Linked DNA regions of Cricetulus griseus. The protein of the gene in region 7 interacts with the protein of the main gene of each other region in a pairwise test. Links are inferred from orthologs where the notes say so. Each region holds a gene or a part of one and is shown on either strand. Other genes may lie near its edges.

Region 1 (3,500 bases), on a different chromosome or scaffold from region 7:
GAGGAGTTATGGAATTTCTTTTTTTTTTTGTTTTGTTTTGTTTTGTTTGTTTTTCGAGACAGGGTTTCTCTGTGACTTTGGAGGCCGTCCTGGAACTAGCTCTTGTAACCCCTTTACCTTGCTGTTTTGGCTCTTGCCTGGTGTGGACAAGCTGGGTTGGTGTGGCTCTGGTTTGCAGGTAGTGAGGTACCCACTTTCCTTACCTGTTCGTCCTCCTCTTCCTCCTCACTACCTCCTTACACCCCTAGCCTCTGCGAGCCCTGGAAGCTATATGGCTTGTGCCAGCTGCTGAGCTCTCTGGGGTAGAGAACTTGTTGCACCCATCCTACTCCTCAGTCTCACCTATTCTGGTTGGTTTGATGATTTTGTGAGTAGCTGGGGTGAACAGGAAGCAAAGCAGTAGCAGGGTGCTGGAAGGTTCTCCCCTTCCCTCTTTTCCCTCCCTCTCTTCAGAACAGCCTCTCACTCTAGGCTCTCAGGTTTCACCAGACTGTTGTTGGCCAAGGCCAGTAGGTACAAGTATCATTCTGGCTCTTGGATCCCAGGCCTGTCTTTTCTGGCACCAGTATCCCAGTGCTCTTGAGTAGGTTGCATCTTAGTAGGCTGTGTCCTGTGGGCTCTTTGCATCCTGTGGGCTCTTTGCATCCTGTGGGCTCTTTGCATCCTGTGTGTGCCTTCTTGTGCCTTCTGAACATGCCAAGTGCTGCTTCCTCTGCTGGTTTGATTTTCTCTCCTGTCTTCCTTATCTGTGAGCTTCTGCCACCTTCATCCTTTCCTTTCATTCGTGGAGGCTTCACTACAGCCCTGGAGGCCTCAGCCCCAGCTCCACCAAAGTACTACAGGACTGCCACTCCTGCAGCCTCAACCTCTCTGTCTTCACCTGCATATGGTTTATAGCACGTGAGATCATGTCCTAAGCATCTTGTTAGGCTTCTGCCTCTAATGCGGTGCCCGAAACTTCCCAGAATCTTCTAGCTCAAGGGCATCATCACAGCTAAAGCTTAGGAGGTTACTGTTCTCCATGTGGGCTGTTGGTCCAAGTTTGTTGTCATACTCCTCATGTTCTTGGGTTCTTCCTTTCTGACTTGAATCATTTTCTCTTCAGAAGAAACAAGAGCAGAAGGCTCCAGACAAAGATGCTATCCTCCGGGCAACAGCCAACCTGCCTGCTTGTAGCACAGACCGGACTGCAGTTCAAACCACCATGAGAGACGTGAGTACCTGCCTGGTGTGGAACTGGGGGCATGTCCTGTGGGATAACAAGAAGTTCTTTAAAAGTGCTTGGGGTTGGTGTGGTGACATTCAGGACGCTGAGGCAGGAGGATGGCTTGAGCTCAGGTTTGAGGCTAACATGGATGTTATAGTCATCCCCTCATCCCACCCCCATCCTCCCCCCCAAAAAAAAACAAAAAAAAGGGAATCTGAAACAGAATGTTCAGGAACTCTTTACTACTTTTGGACTCTTCTATAAATTACATTTTTTTTTTTTCAAACTACAAAGTTGACGAGATATCTATAGCCCTGGACAGACAGCTGTAGGGAAATGCAGTGACTTTGCTCTGAATTCAACAAAGCTTCCAGGGAGGAATCTGAGCTCCCCAATTACTTTGGACAAGAAAACTAAGTCAGAAGCCTACAGCATGCTAACGTGGGTTAGTCCATGATAAAGTATGCTTCTGTATGCAGGAATTGTGGAAAGTGGCCAGCATTCAGCTTTATCAGTTCTGGATCCATACTGGTACTGCTGGAAGCCGAACCTCTCTGGGGTCTTTTTTGAAGAGTTCCATTTTTTTTTTTTTTTTTAAGATTTATTTATTTATTATGTATACAGTGTTCTGTCTGCATGTGTCTCTGCAGACCAGAAGAGGGCGCCAGATCTCATTTTAGATGGTTGTGAGCCATCATGTGGTTGCTGGGAATTGAACTCAAGACCTTTGAAAGAGCAGCCAGTCTTCTTAACCTCTGAGCCATCTCTCCAGCCCCAAAGAGTTCCATTTGATAAGAGCTTTGTAATTCTTCTGCAGTGGCTGGCACATGTGTCCCTCTCTGGTTTCTGTGGGTCCAACCCTGGATAGGGTCTCAGGAGGCTTTAGGCTTGTAATGTCCCACCTCCAGGCCCAGTATCAGGCAGGGGACTGGTGCTAGAGTGGAGGTAAGGAGTCTCTGATGTCGCCAGTCTGTTATTGAGACAGAGTCTCATTGTAGATCAGGATGGCCTTGAATTCACATCTGTCTGCCTCTGCCATCCAGGTGCTGGGATTAAAGGTGAAGGCCAAATGCTCTCATAGATTTGGAGGGCTATGTTCAGGGGTAGAGTTGCAGATCTAATTAGGTTTGTTGGACATTCAGAGAAATGATCTTTTCTTTCTTTCTTTCTTTCTTTTTGAGACAGGGTTTCACCGTATAGCTTAGGTTGGCCTCAAACTCCCAGCAGTCTTCCTGCCTCAGCCTTGCAAGAGCAGGGATTACAGGTGTGCATCACTGTGCCAGGCATGATCTCTTTCTTCATTCTACTACAGTTCCAGACCGAACTCCGGAAGATCTTGGTGTCTCTCATTGAGGTGGCACAGAAGCTGTTAGCACTGAATCCTGATGCAGTTGAATTGTTTAAGAAGGCAAATGGTATGAGTGGGTCCTAGCCTGCACCCGCCAACTGTCTGCTCAAGCCTCAGAATGTGTCCCCAGCCCTCACATTGAAAGCAGGTTCTGCTTTCAGTTGATTATGGGGTGGGTGTGTGTGGCTCCTGGCCTGTTGTGTGGCCATTCCTAATGTGTAAGAGCTGATGTTAGGGCCTGAGTTTTCTGTGGCATCAGTAATTGCTAAGAGCCTTTGCAGTTGAGACTACGGAGCTTCAAAGGGCTTAGGAATCCCCTCATGACAGGTTTTCTCTTTTTTCTCAGCTATGCTGGATGAAGATGAGGATGAGCGAGTGGATGAGACTGCCTTACGGCAGCTCACAGAAATGGGCTTTCCTGAGAGCAGAGCCTCAAAGGCCCTTCGGCTGAACCAGTCAGTATGCTCTCTTTCTTCCCTTTTTGGAACTTGGCCTGGGCTTCCCTGTGATTCCCCCTCCCAAACTCTGATGGAATCATACTTTTTTTATTGTTTATTTTAAGTGTGTGTGTGTGTGTGTGTGTGTGTGTGTGTGTGTTGAGGATCTCTGTTACCTATGCTGGTCTTGAACTCCTGGATTCATGCAATCCTTTTGCTTCAGGCTCCTGAGTAGCTGGGACTAAAGGTGTGAACCACCATACCTGGCTGTTAAGAGAGCCAAAAAATCAGTCTGTAAATGTGCCCTGCACCTTCAAGTTAGGAGAGCTCTAAGCCAAACTTGCCCCTGGTCTGGACAGGAGTTCTTTCATAGTCTTCTTAACACTTCTGGTTTCAGTTACTCAGGTCCCATATGAATGCTGTAGGCTAGAGCTGGTTAATCGTTGTGTTCTTTGTGCTGTGGACCTAGGACCTAGACTCCTTTGTCCCTTTGTTTGGGGTACATGTC
Region 2 (4,143 bases), on a different chromosome or scaffold from region 7:
CAAAACAAGAGCCTTTAATCCCAGCACTTGGAAGGCAGAGACAGGCAGATCTCTGTGAGTTTTGAGGCCAGCCTGGTCTACAGAGCAAGTGCCAGGATAGGCTCCAAAACCACAAAGAAACCCTGTCTCAAAAAAACAAAAACAACAGCAACAAAAAGTACCAAGTCAGACAGACAGTGGTGTATGCCTTTAGTCCTTGCACTCAGGAAGGAGGGGCAGGTGGATCTCTGTGAGTTTGAGGACAACCTGTCTACAAAGTGAGCTCCAGGACAGCAAGGGCTACAGAGAAACACAAAAAGCAACCATGACAAAAAGTACCAGCACTGCCTCCAAGACATTGTGCAATGCAAATCCTGTGCTCTACCAGGCCCCTTGTAGCTCTCTGACATCCCATGCCCTTTACTATCTCTCTCCCTGATCAATGGTCAAAATTCAGCTTAGGCTATACCCACCTTCTGTTCTCTGGTCTAGCTCTCTCATCAGCTGGAAGTTCCTCTGAAGTTCACAGGGAAGGTTCTCAATGCCTGAAAGAGACATCAGTAAGTGCTGTACTTCTCAGTAGACAAAAATCTACCCCCAGGGATGGAGAAATGGCTTGGCTGTTAAGAGCACTTACTGCTCTTCCAGAGGACCCAAGCTCAATTCAAATCCCTGTGTGAAAGCTCACAGCCATCTATAACTCCAGTTCTAAGGGATCTCTGATGCCCTCTCTGACCTCAGAGGGTACTGCACACATGTGGTGTGTAGACATACATGCAGGCAAAACACACATACATGAAATAAAAAACAAATAAATCTTTAGAAAAAAAACAATAAACAACAAAATCTCCAGGGCCCTCCAGTTTGGGGACTAAAATGATTAAGGCCATTTTAGGGGCAGGTACCAACAGTCTGACAGTTTCAGAAGCACTGGCAGCTCAAAGGGAGAATGCAGGAACCTGCCCCCAGCATACGCAGACAGACACCTCACCCCATCCCCAGGCCACACCACTCCTGAACTGCATCTTCCGAAGCTCAAGCCAGAACCTGAGTTCTCCTTCATTTCTCCAACTTTATCCTGATACCTACTGTACCAGGAACCATACACCAAGTGGTTCTAAGACATGCTCTCTCTGCTCGGTCCAACATATTAGCCTCTTGCCACACAGTTGTGAGCACTGGAAAAGCAAACAGTGCCACGGAGCAGCTCACCAGACCCTGTGGTTAGGCTGAGCTGGTGGGCAAACCAGCCCGTGCTGCTTTCCTGATTGTCTGCCTGCACTAAGCTTTCAGCAGACTCCAGATGCCTTCTGGGTCTTGTCACACTCCAAGTACTCTCCACAGCCAATAAGGCCAGCGTTTTAGGCCCGCATCTTAGAAAACTTGCTGCTATAACTTCCTGAGCTCCCCAAGACATTATCATCCACAGCCCGACTCCCAGGGCCCTTGGCAGCATTCTATCCTCCAGGGACCTTTAACTGCAGCCTCCGGAACTACATTTATTCACAGGCTTAATCTGCTGTGAACTTTAAAAAAAAGGGGGGGGGGGCTGGAGAGAAGGCTCAGCGGTTAAGAACACTGGTTGCTCTTCCAGAGGACCCAGGTTCAATTCCCAGAACCCACATGGCAGCTCATAGCTATCTGTAACTCCCGTTCCAGGGGATCGGATGCCCTCATACAGACAAGACATCAATGTACATAAAGTAAAATTAAATTGTTTAAAAAAAATAAAAATAGCCAGGCGTTAGTGGCACACGACTTTAATCCCAGCAACTCGGGAGGCAGAGGCAGGAGGATCTCTGTGAGTTCGAGGCCAGCCTGGTCTCCAGAGCAAGTGCCAGGATAGGCTCCAAAGCTACACAGAGAAACCCTGTCTCGAAAAACCAATAAATAAATAAATAAATAAATGGGAGGGAGTGTGTCCCTACTATCAGTGAGTTGTGGAGAAATGGGGTTCCTTCCCACAGGTGGCCAGCACTGAAATGAACCCATCTTGGATCCACATCAGAACGCCCACTGGAGGGGCTTCAGAGTGAAGACGGATCACCTTGGAGACCCACTTCCCAAGCCCTGCTAGACAGTCAAAGCTGAGGGGCGCCCCCGCCACCCTAAAGAGTGGGAAATAATCCTCTCAATTCTCGCCGGGAGCCAATCTCACCATCCATAAATAAACGGAGGAGGGCACGCCTGGGATCTCGTCAAAGATCAACCCGTTACACGGGGCATCCTCCCTTGCCGGGCTGGCTTGTGACAACACGAGTTTCCCGCGAGAAAGAACCGCACCCCGCTCGCTCGCTCGCCCAGAGCTCCCTACGCCCGCTCGGAAAGCAAACACCACAGCAGCAGGTTAGGAAGGGGCGGGCCTTCCCCCACGCCAGACTCAACGAGAGGGGAGGGGCTCGGGGCGTGGCCGGCGTCGGGGTGGGGCTGAAGCGGAGGGGGCGGGCTGAGCCGCAGGCCCCGCCCCTCCGTGACGCACCTGGAATTGGCGCGGCGGAGGCGGCGGGACCCCCGCGCCGCGCCCCCCTCCACCCACGGCCCCGCCCCAGGCCGGCCGTGAGCCCCACTGTCCCCCGGGCCAGTCCCCGTCCGCGGCCGCGCCCGGGGCCCCGCGGGTCGCGGTGGGCCAGGGGCGGCGGCGGCGCAGCCCGGCGAGGGCGGCGGCTCGGCCAGGGTGCTTACTGTCCAGATAGTGCTCCAAGTACATGGCAGTCGCCATCTTCGCTGCGGCCACGCTCGGGGTCTGCGCGAGCGGGCGGTGCCGCGGACTCGGGGCGGGGCGGCGCCGCGCGCTCACTATTCATGAGCCGCGCGCGCCGATTGGCCGGAGAAGGGGCGGGGCGCGCCAGGGCCCTCCCCCACGCTTCCGGCCGGCTGCGGTCGCCAGGCGGCGCCGCGGGGTTTTCGCTGAGGGAAGCCGGGCGGGCGGTGGAGTCGCCTCGCGCTTTGCAACGCGGAACTCTGACGGCCGCGTTCCGAGCCTTGGCGCTGCCCCGTGGAGCGCTCGACGGGCGACCTCGCCTGCACGTGTCCAAGCTTCACCTTCCGGCCGACACCTGCCGCGAGCGGCCCGGGGGGGGGGGGGGCTCAGACCCGGCGGAGCCGAGAGCTGGTGCGAGCTGCCTGCGGGGCGGTGTGGTGTGGTGCCGTGCAGCTGGCGGCGAGGTCCTCGGGGAAGGAGACGACCCGCCGCCCCCTCCCACGCACACACGCACCCGCCACCCCCTCACACACGCACACACACGCTCACACACACACCCGCCACCCCCTCACACACGCACACACACAAACACCCGCCACCCCCTCACACACACACGCTCACACACGCACGCCACCCCCTCACACACACACACGCTCACACACTCACGCATAAACACACCCGCCACACCCTCACACACACTCACGCATAAACACACCCGCCACACCCTCCCATACACACGCTCCCACTCGCGCGGGCCTTGGTTAAAACACTGATGCTCTTTGTTGCTGTGTGGCCCCGAAGGGGCGTGCCCACACGTGGTGAAGAAGCCATGCACACCTCCATGCCTGCCCCCCCCAAAAAAAAAACCTAGAAAAGCCGGGCGTGGCGGCACGTGCAGAAGCAGGTGTATCTCCATGAGTTCAAGGACTGTCCTGTCTACATAACGAGTCCTATGCCGCCCACACTAGCTAGACCTCGTCACAATTTTTTTTTTTTTTTACTTAAAAAAAATGAAGTTAGCGAGGCTATGGTAGCACACGCCTTAATCCCAGCACAGCAGAGGCAGGCGGATCTCTGAGTTCGAGGTTAGGCAGGTCTACAGGGTGAGTTCAGGACAGCCAAGGCTACATGGAGAAACCCTGTCTCTAAAAACAAAAGGGGAGGGCTGCCACTTCAGTATGTCAGATGGTGGGATCGTGTGTGCTCCCTCTGTGTCTGAACCTTACTCGGTGTTATCGTGGATGCGTTTGCCAGTCACCATGTATCTCTCTGCCACACAGAACCTGCTAAGATTAGGAAATTATCTCCAGCAAAGTTTCATGGGCGAAATTTTAGGTGCCACGTGCCAATCCTGCTTGTGCTCTGTAACTTCACGCTGGTCAGAAGCACGTATCCTAAAAGGCCGAGGGTCAAGGGCAGCTGGGGCTACAGCGACAGTGTGGGAACTACCCCTCACATCCTCA
Region 3 (4,060 bases), on a different chromosome or scaffold from region 7:
CAGTTCGTAGTAGTTAGACGGAGAAGACCTATGGAGAGAAGCCCAAACCTACAGAGGCTTAGGAGACCAAAGGTCATCATTGCCCTGTCCTGCCATCCTCTCTGGGCACACCCTTCAATTCAGTCACCAGGAACTGAAGTTAGTCCCAAGACACATTTTGCTCCAGATTACCCTTCCCTTTGGGATGTTTCAGGAATGGTCAGGACTTCTTAGTTTCAAAGTGTCTTCCTCATCAGACTCCTACACCACAGACCCAAAAAGGGTTCTGCTGCTTAAAAAAAAAAGTGGGGGGACTACCGGGCATTGGTGGCGCACGCCTTTAATCCCAGCACTTGGGAGGCAGAGGCAGGCAGATCTCTGTGAGTTCGAGACCATCCTGGCCTACAAGAGCTAGTTCCAGGACAGCCTCCAAAAGCCACAGAGAAACCCTGTCTCGAAAAAACAAAAACAAAAAAACAAAAACAAAAAAAAAACAAAGGGGGGGGGACAAACAAAACAGGGTCTCACTAGCTCTGTCTGACGTGAACTCCCTAGGTAGATCAGACTAGCCTTAAACTCACAGAGTTTGCCTTTGCCTCCCAAGTTCTGCGGCTGACAGTGGGCACCACTGTCCCACCACCATCCTGGCTTAAACACTTCTTTAAAGTTTTATTATTTGATTTTATGTATATGACTGTTTGTGGGTATGTGCACCACATGAATGCCTGGTGCTCCCAACAGGTCAGAGAGTGTGGCTGTAAGTCCTTGTGTTGAGTCCTCTGTGCTGGCAAATGCTTTTAATCTCTGAGCCATCCTCCAGCTCCTAAAGACTTACTTAAAACAGCAGGTTTTGTATGTCTCTCTTAGGGTCCTCCTTGTTTCCTAGCTTCTCTGGCAGTATGGTAATCCTTTGCTCTATGTCTAAAATCCATATATGAGTGAGTACATACCATGTTTGTCTTTTTGTGACTGGTCCCCAGAAAAGAGGAAAGGGACAAGATCTCCTGAGCTAATTGGGAGCATGGGGGAAGGGGAGAGGGAGTTAGGCGAAAGAGGAGGGGAGAGGAGGACATGAGAGAGCAAGATGGATCGAGTCAGGGGAAGGATAGAGGAGAGCAGGATGAGAGAGACCATAACAGAGGGAGCCATTATAGGTTTAAAGAGAAATCTGTCACTAGGGAAATGTCCAGATATCTACAAGGTTGATCCCAACTAACAACCTTAAATGCACTTCTCCGATAATGAGATTGATGACTACCTTATATGCCTGAGCTGAACTCTGGAATCCAGTTGCAGAGAGGGAAGAGTGATGAGCAAAGGGGTCAAAACCAGGCTGGAGAGACCCACAGAAACAGCTGACCTGAACAAGGGGAGTTCATGGACACCAGACTGATTGCTGGGAAACCAGCATAGGACTGTTCCAGACCCCCTGAAAGAGGATGTCAGTTTGGAGGTCTGGGGCCTCAGGTAGTGGATCAGTATTTATCCCTAGTACATGAATGGACTTTGGGAGCCCACTCCACATAGAGGGATACTCTCTCAGCCTAGACACACGGGGGAGGGTGTGTCTAGGCTGCTCCAAATGATATGACAGATTTTGAAGATCCTCATGGAAGGCCTTACCCTCCCTGAGGAGCAGAAAGGGGATGGGATAGGGGGTCGGTGGGGGGCAAGGGAGGAGGGGAGGGAGAGGGAACTGGGATTGACAAGTAAAACAAGCTTGTTTCTAATTTAAATTAAAGCCTTAAAGCCGGGTGGTGGTGGTGTGTAGGGGACAGTGTAAGCCACACCTGCTAGAAACTGGCTACAGGTGTGCCTAACCACACCTAACCAGGGCATGGTCAAGGTGAGGTCAGGATGACTCGTGTTAGGGTTTAAAGGGACAGACAAGGCACATCTGAACTCCAGATACTCTGGAGATTGTGTTTGGAACCTTGATTGGGCAACATAGAAAAACTGCATCTCAAAGGAAAAGGAAAAGGCAGATTCCCACCCTCACCCCCCCTCATTCCTCCTGACCAGCATCTCCAGATCGCAGCCCAGAAATCTAAATCTTTGTACTCAACTTTCCTCATTTCCAGTGTATGCACAGTGAAGGCTGACAACATACCAGAACTATGGAAAGAGCACTGGCTTTGACCTGAGCTCAAATTCCCGACCTGCCACTTATCTCACTTAATCTTGGGGCTCTGCTCTGAACCCTTGATACTCAGTGTCCAGCTCTGAAGGTGAGGGTTATCTGGGACAGATCTCTAAAGGCACTTGGCGTATAATGCAGACAGCTATCTCAGAACACAGGGCTCTCAATAGAAAATCACAGAACAACATGGCCAAGATCTGGCGCTCAACTCACCGCTGCTCTGTGGCGGCTGAGAGAAGCCGGGTGGGAGGGCTGTAGGGCCACAGCCGGCATAGGCGCGGGGGCAGCAGGAGCAACAGGGACGGCATGATGACAGCGGCGGGGCAGCTGGGAAAGGGAGGACCCCCCAAGAGGTATGCATTGGATCCCAATCAATTGGGCCGGACCTCGGGTGTCGGGGAAGAGAGAAGGAGCCTGCCTCAGTTTCCCACAAAGCCAGACTGAAGCAGATTTCAGAAAGGCCTCTTTATTCAAGACTCAGACGCGAGTGCTACGGCCTCCAGCACTGGTCTCCAAGTCTAGATCACCGGCTCAGGACCCGGGACACCCCTCCCCATCTATAGCGTTAGGTGGGCGTGAGGAGGAGGAGCCACAGCAGAGCCCCGCCCCTGTCCCCCACTCACAAACTCCACAGTCGCCGCCATTTCCTGCGCCCGCACAGGCCCCGCCCCCAAGCCCTGATTGGTGTAAGGCTCACGCCACTCTTATTGGGCAGGAAGGCGGGTACACGAACAAAGGACCCGCCCCCGTACGCTCATTGGTCTAAAACGCCAGAGTCCGCGAAGCGGAAGTGCCGGGGTTTCTGAAAGGTACCGGGGTCTGCCCGTCCCGTGCCCCATCCCTCTGAGCAGCCAGGCGCGGTTCAAAGAGGTGCTTTTTCTGCGCCGTGGCCCGCCTTCTCCAAACAGGGACACACGGAGGCTGCGTTGCCACGTGGCCAGCCCCTCTCACCCACCCCAGGTTCTCCCGGAGGATCCCAGACTAGCAGAAGCAGCAGAAGGCAACGGTATCCAAGAATAAAAGTCCTTTATTGTCTTTAGAGCTGCAGTGATAGGGCTGGGACGCTAGGATGACTCAGGCGGGACGTCCCAGCACCCGACTGTAAAGGAGGATGGCGATTGTAGAGGAGGATGGCGCCTTTGGCTGAAGGGCAGAGTTGTGCCCACATCTCTGTCTCCTGTAGTCTCTGTACCCTCTGAGAGAAATCAGTGAGACCCAGACATCAGGCCTCACTTTCTGCCTATAGTTACTGAATCTCAGTACTCCTGTCTATCCCCGTTCATGGGCTTTCCCCTTAGGTAGGACCCAAGCTTTGTGCCTCTGGAAACTCTAGGAGACCCGGGAGTTCTCTGCCTCACCCAAGTATTCTTTCCCCCCAATACCAGACCACCGTGAAGGCCTCAACTCCACACCTGTGTCTCCACAAAGATGATTCCTGTAGACTCGTGGGCCTCAGGTCCCCCACTCATGTAATAACTCCTAACCTCCTCTGAAGTTAGGCTGCACCTAGACAAAAACATGAGGGTGGCTTGGTGTCCAGACTTTATGGGAACCCCACAGAACTCGAGTCGCCTCACACCCACTCCTTCCCCACCCACCTCACCCAGGATCCTGCACCCCAGAGCCCACTCACTGGACATGGAACTCTGCACTGGCTCTGCCCGCGCTGGTCTCATTGCAAGCGATGCCCAATAACAGTGGCTGGCTCAAGGTATGCGGTGGCACGTTCACCTGTGGCAGGGAGTCCCACCTGTCAGGCTGACAGCTCAATGGCCTGGGTTTTTTGTTTGTTAGTTTGGTGTTTTTGTATGTTTATTTTTGTTAAGGCAGAACCTCAAGTAGCCCAGGCTGGCCTTAAACTCACTATTTAGCAAAGATGACCCAGAATTTCTGGTCCTGCCTTCATCTCCTGAGTGCTGGAATTACAGGTATGCATCACTG
Region 4 (4,028 bases), on a different chromosome or scaffold from region 7:
TACAGGCCTGCACCATGAGTGCTGCCTAAGGCTGTGGCATGCTGGGCAAAGTCATGTTTTATCGCTGAGCTACATAGTCAGCTGCTGCCATTTGCATAGACACAGGACAGTGTTGGGTCCATAGGTATGACACAAGCTCCCAAGCCCCACGTTGTAAATCTTGAAGACTAGGTTTTTGTCCAGTTGCTACAAAAGTCTATTGATGACCAGCCAGGGACATGCCCAGGAACAGACACACCTTTGTTTATGTTTCCTGTGTGGCTACTGGCCTCCAGTTACCCAGCTCTAGACAGAGTTCTGTGCCTACGGCTACCTGGAGTAAACTTTTGATCCTTGCCCTTAGAACTCTTTGGGAAGGAACTGTATTGTCTGTGTTTAATACAGTGCTTCCCCAATATTCAAGACAGTTAGATAACTGTCTTGCCACTTGGATAGCTGCATCGTCATCTTGTTTCCTGTTTTCCCAAGTTACCTGGACAAACAGGAGCTTGGGCTCCAGGAGCAGGCCAAGGGTTACTGCTGACACTAGCATGACTTTTGTTCTTGACTGTGAAAACTGCACTTTCTTAGATGGACCCTAGTTACCCAGAGACAGCAGGATGATGAGACACAGACTGAACTTGACCTTTGTCCCTGTCCAAGCTGAGGATTCCCACATGATCCTGGGCAACTCCCCAGTCGCTTGGAGCCCCTGTGCTTTGCCTCTGTCTTAGCCTTGGACCCAAGAACTGAGGAACAGGGAGATAAGGAAGGGGGTCTTACCAGCTCTGCACCAGCTGCACTGAGGGGGTGCCCAGCACTCTGTCGGGAAGCAAGTTAATCTCTTTCATGATGTTGGCCAGGCGCACAGGCAGCTCCTGCCTAAGGAAGGTGAAGGAAGTTTTCTCGCAGGCATTGCTGGATCCTGAGGGTAAAAGAGGGGTCAGTCAATAGCTGCAAACCACCAGAACTGGCACACACGTGGAGACTGGGAATGACCAAGTGACCTATCCATGGCACACAGTAAGGCAGCCCTCGTAACACTGCAGTGCTTGAGCCTTCCCAGGGACCCCGCCACCTAGCTTGGCACTTCAGGAGCAGTATCACCTGTGACTGACCCTCAGCTAAAACCCCACTTGTCTTTAACCAGGGAGACAAGATGTTTCTAGGGCTCATTCTGAACTGTTCTGGCCTAAGTCACCTCAATTTTCTTCTCATCCCTCTAGGTAGGCACTGATTCCAGGGTACTGGGGGCAGGGGAAGAGGTCCCTAAGAAATCCTTCCCTCCCTGGGGTGCTGTGACTAGATTCCCAGGACTGCAGGAACTCAGTTAATAACCCTAAGGCAGCCCATCTCATCCAGGCTGATGAGACAGATGGATGCCAATGTAGAATTGGCCATGTTTAATGACCATCTGTGAAGCAAATGGGGACCTTGGTCCAGGGTCAAGAGGAACAGGCAGTGGAGGAATGAGTAGTGTTAGTCTAGAGACAGGAGACCTAGGACCGAGACTATGCCTTGCTTCTGTCACCAAGGGTAGGTCACCATCCTTTTGAGGGATGTTTTCTCCATATAGGTAGACTGGACTACTGCAAGCCTTTCCAGCTGTGACACTTTGCTGGGGCTTTAGAGTGGGCCCTGAAGGATTTCCCACACACGAAAAGCTCAAGACTCCAACAGAACAAGGAGAAACAAAGGCACAGCCTGGAAAACAAGTGCCCAAATCTTGTCTGCCACCTCCCTATCTTCCTGTCTGTGACGCAGCTGTAACCTAAGCCAACTCTTGAAAGACCTGGACCCACTCCTGATCACCAGCTGGCACATGGGAATGCCATGTAGACAGACAGGGACACACTTGGCACAGCTTTCTCCTGCCCCAAAGCTACCTCGACACCCAGAACACTGGTAGTGGGTGATCTTCAGAAACCCAGGGACAGCCATAGGAGAGTATAAGCCACCTGACTACCTCATGGTAACTTGGGCTGTGCCCAGCTAGGAACTGGCTGCCGAGCCAGAATGGATTTGATCTTCAAGTGTCCTTGCCCAGTGGGCAGCTGCAGTGGGTGGAGGCTCCCCAATCAGGGGAGCTCCTGTCAGCACCTCCTACTTAGAGGGCCCCCTTCCCAGCTGCCCTGGGATTTCTCTCTCACTCAGCTCAAAAGTACCCCACTCTCATGCACAGCACCGGTCTTCTAGATGATTGGATCTCCCTGGCACTCCCAGTAGCAGGTCCCATTTACTCCTGTCAGTAGCCACGATCTCCCATTAGCTCTATCATGTCTGGATGAGGCCCTATAACCTCGCTGCCTCTTACTCTCCATGACCCCTCCCAACGCTTCCCCCGAGCCCCCATTCTTAGTAACTGTGTGAAGGGGGCACCCTTTAACTCTTTCTGGGCAGCCAGGCTTGCCTCGCCATTTACCCGTTCCTGTCCATACTCTTCCAAGTCAACCCTCCTGCCGCCACCCAGAACCTCTTCCTCGAACGTTAACCTGTCATTGCCAGGGTCTCCTCCTCCGCGCCTACCGCCCCCGGTGCCCACCTACGATGACTCCGTACCGAAGTCTAGAAACTGCTTCATGGACAGCGGGGACGGGGAGAACTTGCTGAAGTGCTCGATGTACTTGGGCGCCCCTGCTAGGGACGCATTCTTCAACAGTGCCCGGATCCAGCGCATCGCGACGGCGCCCGCGGCTTCGGCTCGGCTGCCACTGCTGTCCCGGGGCTGGAGGTGCTGGCACCGGCCCTCCGCTTGGCCCAGCTCGGCCGGGAGACGCGCTTCGGCCACCTCCTCCCTATCCCTGCCCTGGCTGAACCTCCAACGTCCAGCCAATCGGTTTGTCCCTGCGCCCTGACGTCGCCAATGGCCGCGCACAAACAACTCCGGGATAACCAATAGCCTTGCGCTTCGACACGTGGCTCTTCTCGGGGCCCACCCCCTTAACCGTGTAGGTGCTGGAGGTGGCCTGTTGTTTTCCGCCGCTGAGCTCAAGTCCCGCCTCCAGTTGCTAACTCCCCTAGACTTCTAAGGGGCGAGACCTGCGTTAACCCTTTCTTTCCCAGAGTCCCGCTAACCCTTCGGTTGGCCTTCTACTCTTTTGCGTTTCCTTGGATTCTTCCCCCGGCCTCCTTCACGCTCCCTCTCCTTTAACTCTTTCTTCCCCGCCTTGCCCCTTTCCTAAAGGCACCTGTTCCACCTGTCTTGATGTTCACCTGTTCTGCCATAGGAGCTCTTGGTAGTTTTCCATTCCTACGATGGACCCAGAATGAACACTTGCGAAATTTGGAACCAGGATGCAAGCTTATACTATATCCTACATGCCTGGAACCCTCTAGCTTCTATAAATATCCAAGTGGCCCAAGAAAAGGCGGCGTTTTCTTTTTCACGTGAAAAACACCCAAAATTGGGGTGGGAGTGTAGCCCCGAGGGTCTGGTACTTGCTTAGCATGCATGTAGCCTTATATTGACCTCTGTCACTTGAAAAACAACAACAAAAACACCCCGAGCCAAATCCCTCAGGACTAGCAGAGCCAGAGGCAGGTACTAATTTTAGGAAGTTTCGTTGTATTATTACCTAGCTCGTTTGACTAAACAAAAACCTTGAACGTCTTGCAAACCACCCAAGAAGGCAACCTTCTGTGTACCTAGCCTGAGAAGGCAACCATCTGTGTGTCTGGCTTCCTTATTACAAGTATCTTAGGAGCTAAGGAGCTCAATATTCCTAACAGCCGGAGCCTCTTCCCTGCAAAACGCCATGCGCCCCCTTTTGGTAGACCGTGGTGTGTTTCCTACTCTGCAGGTCTGCATGGGGTTCCTTAGTTCTTTGCTTATTGACCCACCCTTGCCACACCCCTGCTAAGGGATGAGCTTTGTTCCAAAACACAGGCAGGATCAATGCACTGGCCTTTAGTAGGGCCTGGTGTTACTCTTGGAGGCAGGAGGCAGGAGGATTTCAGTTCAAGGCCCACATGAGGTAGAGTAAATTCAAGTACAGCTGGGGTAATTTAATGAGATCTCAAAAGTGAGAGGAGGAACTGGAGCTGAGGTG
Region 5 (4,083 bases), on a different chromosome or scaffold from region 7:
GAACCTTTCAATAAAGTTATTTTCAGCTGCCCAGATGTGTGTTGTAATGGCCAAAGGGATGGGCGGCTAGCAAATCACTGAGTATTCCTCCCTGGACACAGCAGTCCAGGAAGGAGGCTTACAGACTTGGAGGAGGGCAGGGTTGGACTGAGAAGAGGAGAAGGCAGAAAAGAAGTCATGAGAGAGGCTGGAGACTTCTGGCCCCACCCCTGCCCACTTTGGGACCACAGTTTTATTCCACTGTCTTGTTGATTGATACTAGAGATAGTCACCTGGTCTCTCTACTCACCTAAGCTCCCAAAACCATTTTTATAAAAATTAGGATCCCTCAATTTAGTTCCCTTAACAATGAACCCTACTGCCAAGTTTCTTTTCAGCCCATTAGCTGGAGCTGAGCTCCCAACACGAAGGGCCCCAGATAGAGATAAGATAGATGACTCTCATTCTAATCTTTTTCTTTGGGGTTTGGGATTTTAAAATCCACAGTGGATGTAGCTTTCTGCACATTGATTGACAATAAAGGCAGGCATGAAATATTCACCCAGGGCCACTCTCTCATACTAAATATTTAACACAACATTAGAGAAGGTTTTTCCCAGACTTTGCCAGGCACCGGCTGGGCGGCTGGCGCGCTGCTCACCACTGGTTTATGACTAATAGGAGTCCCTAGCCAGCGGCAGCATAGCAAGCTAGGCAAAGTTGGGACACAAGCTCAGAGCTGGGCTGCCTCACCTTTGGGAAACTTCAGATACTCTTCTTGGGAACCTGTCCTATGAGCGAGCTCACCCGGCTCTGTCCAGGAAAATAATCTAAAGGACTTCAAACTCTTGTAAATAGACACTGATTCTTCAGGTAGAGGGGTAAGAGCCCCTGAAACTTGAGGATTCAATATTCCTGGGGAAATCAGGTAGGAAAAAGTCCTGCCTCTTACCCCAGCATATCATAAGAAGGAGGCCAGACCCCTAAACGGAAAGCTCTCCTCCTTCCCCCAATCCTGGGGGTGGGGGGAGCAGCAGCTAGGAAAAAATACAATTACCCCCTCCCAGCCACCGCCCCCGCCCATCCCACCGCCCACCCCACCCCAACCCTCTCTTTCTCCTCCTTTGCTCGCTCTGTGGAATGGAGAGGAGGGGAGTGACGAGAGAAAAACGAATACAAATCTGCAATTGATTTTCATAATGTTTCTGCGGTGTTTGCAAACCAATCGCCTGAACGTCCCCGATCTTACCTAAGAGAGAACCCCTCCTACGTCTGCGAAGTGCTCCGAACTGATATATGACAATATCTACTTTGGATCACGTGCTCGGGGAGAGAGACTAAGACGGATAACGCGTCATCTCGCCTTCCCAAAATTTCCCCCCTCGCTAGACCGGGTCCAAAACCTCCATCCGGAGCAGGCAGGAGAAGAGAACGATGTTTAACTCGGTCAACCTGGGCAACTTCTGCTCGCCTTCGCGCAAGGAGAGGGGTGCTGACTTCGGCGAGCGAGGGAGCTGCGCTTCCAACCTCTATCTGCCCAGTTGCACTTACTACGTGCCCGAGTTCTCCACCGTCTCCTCCTTCCTGCCCCAGGCCCCCTCTCGTCAGATCTCCTATCCCTACTCAGCCCAGGTGCCCCCGGTCCGGGAGGTCTCCTACGGCCTGGAGCCGTCCGGCAAGTGGCACCATCGGAACAGCTACTCGTCTTGCTATGCGGCGGCCGACGAGCTTATGCACCGGGAATGCCTGCCTCCTTCCACAGTCACTGAGATTCTCATGAAAAATGAAGGCTCCTACGGCGGCCACCACCACCCCAGCGCCCCACACGCGGCCCCCGCAGGCTTCTACTCCTCAGTCAACAAGAACAGCGTCTTGCCCCAAGCCTTCGACCGTTTCTTCGACAACGCCTACTGCGGTGGCGGAGATGCGCCTGCCGAGCCCCCCTGCTCCGGCAAGGGCGAGGCCAAGGGGGAGCCTGAGGCGCCCCCGGCCTCGGGACTGGCGTCCCGGGCAGAGGCCGGTGCTGAGGCCGAGGCCGAGGAGGAGAATACGAATCCCAGCTCGTCTGGTTCTACCCACTCAGCGACCAAGGAGCCGGCCAAGGGAGCCGCCCCCAGTAGGTAGCAGCGGCCGGGAACCCGAGGGCAGCGAGGGAGGGAGCGGAGAGGGAGGGCTGGAGTAGGGGGGAGGCCAGGGAAGCGCGGACAGCCTCGTGTTTTGGGTCAGTCCTATTTTATGTGGAGTTTTATAAGCATTCAAAGGATTTTATTATAACCTACAAAGCCCTCTCTCCCAACGACTCGACTTTTTACGATGGAGAAGGGGTGGGGAGGGGAGGGAAAGGGGCTCTTTGGAAAAGCCGGGTGAGCCCCCCTCCTCCGTTATCTCCCTCGGTCTGTGAAATTTTTAAAAGTGCCACCATTGCGGGCGATATTAACTTTGATCGTGAACTTAGAGGAGCGTTTAAGAAAGGATGGGGAGACGGGCTGCCGGGGGGTTGGGAGGGAGGGGAGGGGTGGAGGGGGAAAGGGAGGGCGAGGGACAGACCGGGAGAAACCCAGAGAGGGGGAGAGGTAAGGGACAGAGCGACGAGGCAGAACTGGAGCCCAGACAGGCGCTCCAAGGCAGCTCCGCTTCTTTTTAAAACGACTTTTTTTTTTTTTTTAATGTTCAAATTACATGCTCGCGGGTCTTTGAGTAGAAATCCAGGCAAGCTGGGGTTTGGCGGTGATAGGGGAGTGGGGAAAAGATCGGAGCTCCCCTGAGCTGTTGGTGTCGGTGGTTCTCCAGGGTCTACGCCCTCTGGGAAGGCCCAGCCAGGCAATGTGCGTAGCCGGGCAGATAGGCGGCAGGGCGTCCCGGGGAGCCAGGGCCTGGCTGGAGGCTCCCGTGTATTCAGCTACCTCTACTCGCTGGTCGCCCCCCCCCCCATTTCCCACTGCTCTCGCCAGAACCCAATTCTTTGCGCCGATTCTCCGTGGCTCCCTCCGATTTCTGGAGGAGGGGGAGGATCAAGGACTTGCAGAAGCTTTAGAAGGAGCAGGCAGGGCACCCCCAAGGAAAGCACGTGGCTAGGGCAGGCTTTCCTCCACCCGTAGACACTGTCAGCTAGGACTCTGGCCTGAGAGGCAGGGGCACCAGGTCCACACTGAGTGTGTGGACCAAGCTAGACCTGACAGTGGGATTGAGGCTTGCCCCAGCGAAGAGACTACGGAACAAGAGTCGCCGGCCTAGGGGGAGGGCTGCCCAGCGGCAGGACTGACTGGGAGCTTTGCTGCTGAGCGTTCAGCGTCTGGGGTCCGCTGGGGTCGCCCGGGGTCTCACGTGTCTCTCTCCCCTCTCCTCGCACTTGCCCCCTCCCCTCCCTCCAGACGCCCCCCGCACCCGCAAGAAGCGCTGCCCTTATTCGAAATTCCAGATCCGGGAACTGGAGCGAGAGTTTTTCTTCAACGTGTACATCAACAAAGAGAAGCGGCTGCAGCTGTCCCGGATGCTGAACCTGACTGATCGACAAGTGAAAATTTGGTTTCAGAACAGAAGGATGAAAGAAAAAAAACTGAGCAGAGACCGGCTGCAGTATTTTTCAGGAAATCCGCTGCTGTAACTGCAGACCTAGCCCTTTGGGGTGGGGGGAGGGAAAGGGGGAAATTTATTTTATTTTATTTTATTTTCTAACTCGTCTTTTTTCCGCGGGTGGAAAACTGGACTGCGGCCAGGGCTGGCCCCCCACTGCCGTTACTGGCACTTCCTTCCAGAACCTCCTTCGCCTCGGGTCTAATTCACTGTAGGGACAGCGACTCGGCCTGGGAAAAGGCGTGAGGGAAGTGTCTGACCCGTGGCTAGTGGACCCGGTTGGCGCCAAGGCCCCAAGACTGTTTATTTAAAAGAAAATACACCTTGCAACAAAGTCTTGCTGCTTGGATTGGGTGAGGGGAGGGGCGAGCACAGTGGGCGCCAGAGCCGAACAATCCTTGAACTCCAAGCCTTCCCTAGCCCAAGTGAAAAGATCCGCTGAGCCACCTTGTCTGTGAGACCTCCTGGACTCCCCGCCCCCCACCCCGCCTCGCCCCTCGGTTAGGGGACTGCTAAATGTGATCCTGCCTT
Region 6 (3,500 bases), on a different chromosome or scaffold from region 7:
ATTCTTGAGTTTAAAAGTCACAGTATCAAAATCCCATGGATTATTTTTCAGACAACATAGTCTTGTAACAAATACAAGTATTTATCTGGAAGTATCTGAGCAACTTAAAGTACTACATTGTCATTAATTTAAAAGTGGTTGTTTTGAATCAAGTCATACATTAAGACTTGAAAGTATTGTTTATGAAATCAGTTACAGTTATGACTATTTTATCATAGACATTTTAAATTTAAACTTTTGATTATTTTACAGTATTTGTGAAAACACTTTAAACACTACCACATGGTTACATTCCCCCAAATCATACATGAAACTAAATGCATTTAAGTTGTATAGCGAAAGTAAACCAATGTCTTGTTATTAGTACATAATAGTAAATGCATTAGTAAAGTAGTTGAGATAGCTTAGGATTATGGGAAGGTTTTAAACAGCTTAATTTCCCATTTGTGAATGGGTGTTCAGAGTGCACACTGCTCTGCTTTTGGCAGTGATGTTTGAGCACTGGCTGCATTCTTTTGCACATGCGCGTATTATTTTACAAGTTTGGTTTCTGTGCTTTACCATGGATAATATAGAAGACTGTTACTGTTTCTTATTGTGATACACTGCTATTCTGTGAAGATAATCAGCTTCCACAAAGTCATGCATATACCATGTGTGCTTGCATGTGATATGCAAATTTTATAGTCAGTGTAGATAGAAGTTTTCTTGTTAAATAAATAACTGGTGGCTTTTTATCATGGTGGCATAAACTTGTTATTATGTATTGTAAACCATGTACTTTTTGGTGGATAATTCCTCATTATAGAGCATATCCTATTATAAAGACATAATTTTCACTCTGTGGTGTGTGCTTTTAATTATTTATTACATAGATAAATAGATGACTTCCTAAGAAGACTTGCAGATTGGATTTTTAGAAATGAGTTAGTTGGTTACAGGCCAAGGGTGTTATATTTAAGAACCTTGAGACCAACTCACCCTTTACCTTGTTGTTAAGGATCAGATTTTTTTTTTTTTTAATGTTTCATTTTTGTTTGAAATTTGGTGCTCTTGTAAGGTGCTTTTCTTCTCCTCCTCAAATGTCATTTAATGAAGGAGACTTGGGAATCTTTACACCAGATTCCCCCTTGGCTGATTTAGCATACCCAGTAGAGGGAGAGGTACTATAAATAGCATTGTAGTGCTTATAAAGACCAGAATAATGGCTTTTTGTTAAGAAATAAGACTACTAAATCCATATGGTTGTCAGTTCTAGCAGGGGAAATGCTGAACCTAATTTGAGATTACAGGAGGCAGTTAAAGAGAACACAACTATTTTTGCTAGATTTGTTATTTTGGGGAAGGTGCCTTCATTAAAGATTTCTAATACGAAAAGCTGTTTTACTCAGTTTTAATGCAACCTTCCTTTTATCAAAAGAAATTTAATTAAAGGGCAACCAGCATCATGATCATCAACCAAATGAATTTCTAAGAGTTTAGAAGTGCTGATGTTTGTATTGTTTAGAAACATGAGATACAAATTGTGTCATCTTTTATTGTAACAAATTGACCTTTCTTCTTTTTTTTTTTTTTAAAGATTTTATTTTATATATTATGTATACAACATTCTGCTTCCATGTGTATCTGCACACCAGAAGAGGGCACCAGATCTCATAACGGATGGTTGTGAGCCACCATGTGGTTGCTGGGAATTGAACTCAGGACCTCTGGAAGAACAGACGGTGCTCTTAACCTCTGAGCCATCTCTCCAACCCCATGAACTTTATTCTTATTTTTGGAGAGTTAGGACAGCCATAGAACACTTGTCCTGCACACAGTGTTCAGTCCCAGAAGAAACAGCCCTAAAAGCTCACTGGTTACCTTTTGTAAATCAGTTCTCCATTCTCCATTCTTTCCTTCTCTTTTAGAAATTGTTTTAAGAGTTCATATTTTACCGTCTTTGTTGCTATTGTTTTTGTTTTGAACAAATTAACAGTAGTTTTGGTTTTATTGGTTGGAATATTGGTATAATTCTCAGAAATACAGTTATATTTTTTCACAGTTCTACTTTGAAAGTATAAATGTTCAGCTTTTCTTGCTTTATTTTGTTTTTGAGACAGGTTTCTCTGAGTAACAGTCCTGGCTGTTCTGGAACCCATTCTGTAGATCAGGCTGGCCTCGAATTCACAGAGATCCACCTACCTCTGCCTCCTGAGTGTTAGGATTAAAGGCATGCACCACCACTCCTGGTCAGCTTTTTTTAATGCAATGTTTTTTATAATACTTTAATATGTTTATTAATAGATTCGGAAGCCGGTGAGGTCCAAACACTGTGGTGTGTGCAACCGCTGCATAGCAAAATTTGATCATCATTGCCCATGGGTGGGTAACTGTGTAGGTAAGTTGTGTTAGCAATCTCTTAGAATGTTGTTAACTTAAATTACTATTAGATAACTATTGACATACAGGATTTAAATAGATAGTTATTCTTATACCCCACATGCTTCCTGGTTGTATGGCAACTCAATCAAGGTGCATGTATGTGTATGGTTGTGTGTGTGTGTGTGTGTGTGTGTGTGTGTGTGTGTGTGTGTGTGTGTGTGTGTGTGTGTGTGTGTGTAAGTGTGTGTGTGTGTAAGAATCAGTCAGGAAGAGTCGAACTGTTTCACTGTCCATTCTCTCTGGTGTCTACTGTCCTCTTTCCCCACTGAGTAACAATGAAACTCGTCTGATGAGGGAAATGATATTTGAAGAAAACTGGAGAAAGCAAGGCAATAATAATATTTGAAAAGTTATGTGCAGAGACAGAGAAGAGGGACAGGTAGGAAGAATTACACACCTCACACCACTGGTGCAATCTGAGAGGATTAGGTCAGTGATCTGAAAGTGGCTTGGAGATTAAAGGGTGATAGGTAGAAAAGAAATGGTTACAAAGACTTGTGACCATGGGAGAGGAGATCGTGATTGTAAGGGTTATAAAAGGAAGATGGAATGGGTTTGACAGGACACTTACACCATAAGAATAGGATTGAAAGCCATAGTTATGTTTTGCTAGTTTTTGGGATCCTTCCTTCAGAATGGTTGCCAGTGATCTCATCACATCATGATCGTAATTGCCAGCATTCTTATTTAAAAACATTTACTAAAACAATGTCCTCACGCTGGCTCTCTCTCTTGCCCTTCGCCCCCCTCTCTATCTCTCGCTCTCCCTTTGTCTCTCTCTCTCTTCCCCCCCCTCGCTCTTTCCCCCCTTTAATAAACTCCATGGTTAATGAAAATAAAAACAAAAAAAATCAATCTTCTCAAAGCATTCCACAAAATAAGTAATGGATGTATTGATTATTGTCCAAGTTGTATCGTATCTGTCATAGCACACCTGATGAAGGTGTGTTCCCAGTCGTTTTTTCTCAGTTGACATAATTGCTTCTGTGTTGTTTAGGTGCAGGCAACCATAGGTACTTTATGGGATACCTGTTCTTCTTGCTTTTTATGATCTGTTGGATGATCTATGGCTGTGT
Region 7 (3,500 bases):
TAGCCAAACAACAACGAAATACGTTCACAGATAAGAATTTGGTGCAGTTTTTCAGTTACTTTTGTCAGCCTTTCAGTGTTGCAGCTCAACAGTCCTGACTACGTATGTACTTGGGGCAAAGCACTGCTGGATCTGTAATACTTTTAAAACTATGACAAATTGGGATTAGAGCCATAGCTCAGCAGTTGAGAGCATGGGCTGCTCTTCCAGAGGAACTACATTCAATCCCCAGCTGCCATATAGTGGCTCACAACCATCTGTAACTCCAGTCCCATGAGATCTGATGCCAACTTCTGGCTCCATGGGCACTGCATGCATGCAGTACAGACATATATGCAGGTAAAAAACACCTATACACATAAAATAAAATAATTTAAAAACTAAGATAACTTGGGCTGAGAAGATAATTCAGTGGATAAAGTGCTGCAAAGCATGAGGATTTGAGTTGCAGGGTGTGCACCTGTAACCTCAGCTGAGATAATAGGAGGATCCCAGAGGCTTGGGAACCATATTTAAATTACCAAGCAGATCATTCAACTTGCTCCAGTAGGCTGTTGGCTCTGTAGGCAGGAAAGGCTGGAAGACTTGATGGACAGCAGGAAGCTGCTGAACAACACTGGTCACCCGGTCCAGAGTCACTGCACGGGCTGCTTCAAAAAGAGGACTCTTCTGGCCAGAAGCAATCTCACTCATGCCAAGGCTTAAGCAGGGAGCCAAAAGGCTTAGGTTGAACTCCTGGGTCAGAACATTACAGGCCAGACAAACAACAGCAAAGATGGTAAACTTTTCTTCAGGCTGGAAACACATAGCTAATCCAACAAGCATTTGTTTCTAAGATAATCGAGACTAGAGTACTGTAAGGAATGCTTGTGAGACTATTCTAGAGACATGGACATTCATGTGTCCTTTTTACTATGGTGATTCTCTGCACCACACTGGGACTCTGACAACAAGAAGGACATCACTAGATGAGCATCTGGACCTTGTATCTATAGAACTATCAGTTAAAATAATCTTCTTTTCCTTATGAAGCAGCTTGCCTCAAGTTATTTGTTATAGTAAGAAAATACACTCTAGAAAAGCTTTCAGTTAGAATGTAAATAGATAAAAGAAAAATATGACTCTAAGTTGAATTCTCTGTTTTAAAAAGTATATCCTATATTACATACATTAAAAATAAATATTTTAATAATTCCATTTAACATATGTTTAGTAAATACTTCTGGTCTCTTTGTCAGGCTTGAATTTTAAAGTAGTATGTTTAGTTTTATGACCTTATATTTCTCTGAAACAATTATAGGATGACAAATTTTAATTGCTATAAACAGTGCACCCAGGCTAATGTTCCAAGCATTGCTGCAGCCTGAGAACAAACATCTGGAAGGTGGTCTTATATGTGACAAAAATATGCTTGGAAAATCAACATTTCACATGACAAAAATTTAAAATCTTACTTATTCATTTATTTATTTGGAGATTGAGTCTCACTGTATAGCCCTGGCTGGCCTGGATGTAGACCAACAGGCCACAAACAGAGATCCTCCTGTCGCTGCCTCCCAAGTGTGGGAATTAAGGGCATGTGACACCATGCCTGGCCTCATATGGTAGTTTTATTATGCTTTGTCAATTTTTTTTAGCCATTTAAGGAGTTATGGGGAGGACAACAATTTTTCAAGTAGAACTTCAAGCTTTAATATTAAAAACTATATTTCATCATTAGTTCCCCTAAATCAAACATTCCTATGGTCACAGCTAGAACTTTCATAGTTGTAAATAGCCAACTTAGCAACTTGGAAAATCTAACCAACTGGTCCTGTATTTTGGATCTCTTCCTATGTGCCTACCTCTAACCTGCTAGGTGCCTCCTTCTCTCTTCCCATTTACCATATGTCAAGGGGCAGTGGATCCTTGTCTTCAATGGGGCAACAAAGCAGCCCACTAAGGTAGTGGCATAAGGATGCTTGGCAAAGAAGCCAAGGGCGAGGAACTAATGCTTTCAAGACCTGGACCAGCTCTGTAGTACCCCTTCTGATATTTGAGGGGTAAGTGGAGAATTACTCTATATCTAGAAGAGACAGGGCACCTCACCCCATGGGAGAATGTCTCTTTATCTAGAGCAGACAGGTCACCTCACTACATGGTGGTCATGATGGTTAATACTGATGTCAACTTAGCAAGATCTAGAATTTCTTAGGAGATAAACCTCTGGGTGTGCCTATCAGGGATTTTCTTGATTAGGTCAACTGAGGTAGGAAGACCCATTTTAATTGTGGGCAGGGATACTGTACTGAATCAAAAGAAAAAAGCAAGCTGAGCACCAGCATTCCTCTCTCTGCTCTCTGATTATGGATGCCATGTGACCAGACACCTCAAGCTCCTGCTGCCATGCTTTCCCTGCCATGGGGACTATACCCTTGAATTGTGAGCCAAAATAAACCCTTCCTCCTTTAAACTGCTTTTTGTCAGAGTGTTTTATGACAACAATGAGAAAAGTAATGAATACAGGGGTGTGGTGGTTTGAATAGGAATAGCACCCATAGATTCATGTGTTTGAAAGACTGGCCCATAGGGAATGGCACTATTAGGAAGAGTGGCCTTGTTGAAGGAAGTGTGTTTTGAGGTCTTATATGCTCAAGCTACTCCCAGTGTTGAACACAATCTTCTGCTGCCTGTGGATAAAGTGTAGAACTCTCAGCTCTTTCTCCAGCACTATGTCTGTCTAGATGCTGCCAGGCTTCTCACCATGATGATAATGACTAAAACTCTGAAATTGTAAGCAAGCACCAACTAAATATTTCTTTTATAAGAGCTGCTGTGGTAATGGTGTCTCTCCACAGCAATAGAAACCCTAACTGAGACAAGGGGGCTAGTAAAGATCAATTTCCAGAATACAATGAACACATGATACACTTTCTTGCAGTCATGAAATAAATGATGATGAACTGACTATAGCTTATGACCACCTATTTTCTTTATACATATGAAAGATGGAGTTAAAACAACTTTCCTCTTTTAGAATTCCAATTTGGTTGAAAAAGCAGCCTATTCACATCCCATGTGCTGGCTATTCTGGATTATAGCTTTCACATGCCATTTTTAATGCTGTCCTTGCTAGACTCAAGTCTCCCATATGCTGCTACACATTAATCACACAAAGATGAGACAAATTGTGCTGGGTAGTTTATATCAATTTGACACAAGCTAAAGTCATCTGAGAGGAAGGAACCTCAATTAAGAAAATGGCCTTCATAAGCCTGAGTTGTAGGCGGGACTATAGGGCATTTTCTTAATTAGTAATTGATAGGGGAGGGCCTAATCCATTGTGGGTGGTGCCATCCCTGGGTTGGTAGTCTTGGGTTCTATAAGAAAGCAGGCTGAGCAAGCCATTTGGAACAAGACAGTAAGCAGTACCTCCATGGCCTCTGCATCAGCTCATGCCTCTGTCCTGTTTGAGTTCCTGTCCTGACTTCCTTCAGTGATGGACTATGATGTAGAAGTAA

What was found.
Region 1: the proteins of Htt (region 7) and Ubac1 interact in binary tests that used the Homo sapiens proteins (3 or more experiments, as listed by UniProt). The link is inferred for Cricetulus griseus from reciprocal best matches to the Homo sapiens genes HTT and UBAC1.
Region 2: the proteins of Htt (region 7) and Ing5 interact in binary tests that used the Homo sapiens proteins (3 or more experiments, as listed by UniProt). The link is inferred for Cricetulus griseus from reciprocal best matches to the Homo sapiens genes HTT and ING5.
Region 3: the proteins of Htt (region 7) and Dnajc4 interact in binary tests that used the Homo sapiens proteins (3 or more experiments, as listed by UniProt). The link is inferred for Cricetulus griseus from reciprocal best matches to the Homo sapiens genes HTT and DNAJC4.
Region 4: the proteins of Htt (region 7) and Pdk2 interact in binary tests that used the Homo sapiens proteins (3 or more experiments, as listed by UniProt). The link is inferred for Cricetulus griseus from reciprocal best matches to the Homo sapiens genes HTT and PDK2.
Region 5: the proteins of Htt (region 7) and Hoxc11 interact in binary tests that used the Homo sapiens proteins (3 or more experiments, as listed by UniProt). The link is inferred for Cricetulus griseus from reciprocal best matches to the Homo sapiens genes HTT and HOXC11.
Region 6: the proteins of Htt (region 7) and Zdhhc17 interact in binary tests that used the Homo sapiens proteins (3 or more experiments, as listed by UniProt). The link is inferred for Cricetulus griseus from reciprocal best matches to the Homo sapiens genes HTT and ZDHHC17.

The regions. Positions count from the first base shown.
Region 1 is NC_048599.1:137,385,999-137,389,498, reverse strand, and holds part of Ubac1 (ubiquitin-associated domain-containing protein 1), read left to right. Parts: intron 1-1,105; coding exon 1,106-1,213; intron 1,214-2,519; coding exon 2,520-2,622; intron 2,623-2,901; coding exon 2,902-3,010; intron 3,011-3,500.
Region 2 is NC_048595.1:445,236,813-445,240,955, reverse strand, and holds the start of Ing5 (inhibitor of growth protein 5), read right to left. Parts: upstream 2,801-4,143; 5' UTR 2,699-2,800; coding exon 2,662-2,698; intron 2,354-2,661; exon of another isoform or gene 2,145-2,353; coding exon of another isoform or gene 2,138-2,144; intron 525-2,137; coding exon 453-524; intron 1-452. UniProt on the Homo sapiens protein: Component of the HBO1 complex, which specifically mediates acetylation of histone H3 at 'Lys-14' (H3K14ac) and, to a lower extent, acetylation of histone H4. Component of the MOZ/MORF complex which has a histone H3 acetyltransferase activity.
Region 3 is NC_048596.1:52,462,499-52,466,558, reverse strand, and holds the start of Dnajc4 (dnaJ homolog subfamily C member 4), read right to left. Parts: upstream 2,801-4,060; 5' UTR 2,743-2,800; intron 2,702-2,742; exon of another isoform or gene 2,447-2,701; 5' UTR 2,428-2,446; coding exon 2,333-2,427; intron 29-2,332; coding exon 1-28. Other genes in the region: uridine diphosphate glucose pyrophosphatase NUDT22, read right to left, coding at 3,156-3,314, 3,532-3,625, 3,753-3,850.
Region 4 is NC_048600.1:108,219,304-108,223,331, forward strand, and holds the start of Pdk2 (pyruvate dehydrogenase kinase, isozyme 2), read right to left. Parts: upstream 2,801-4,028; 5' UTR 2,657-2,800; coding exon 2,539-2,656; exon of another isoform or gene 2,522-2,538; intron 905-2,521; coding exon 763-904; intron 1-762. UniProt on the Homo sapiens protein: Kinase that plays a key role in the regulation of glucose and fatty acid metabolism and homeostasis via phosphorylation of the pyruvate dehydrogenase subunits PDHA1 and PDHA2.
Region 5 is NC_048595.1:399,328,615-399,332,697, forward strand, and holds Hoxc11 (homeobox protein Hox-C11), read left to right. Parts: upstream 1-1,413; coding exon 1,414-2,095; intron 2,096-3,350; coding exon 3,351-3,583; downstream 3,584-4,083. UniProt on the Homo sapiens protein: Sequence-specific transcription factor which is part of a developmental regulatory system that provides cells with specific positional identities on the anterior-posterior axis. Binds to a promoter element of the lactase-phlorizin hydrolase gene.
Region 6 is NW_023276806.1:144,559,187-144,562,686, forward strand, and holds part of Zdhhc17 (palmitoyltransferase ZDHHC17), read left to right. Parts: intron 1-2,286; coding exon 2,287-2,380; intron 2,381-3,421; coding exon 3,422-3,500. UniProt on the Homo sapiens protein: Palmitoyltransferase that catalyzes the addition of palmitate onto various protein substrates and is involved in a variety of cellular processes.
Region 7 is NW_023276807.1:103,859,681-103,863,180, reverse strand, and holds part of Htt (huntingtin), read right to left. Parts: intron 736-3,500; coding exon 522-735; intron 1-521.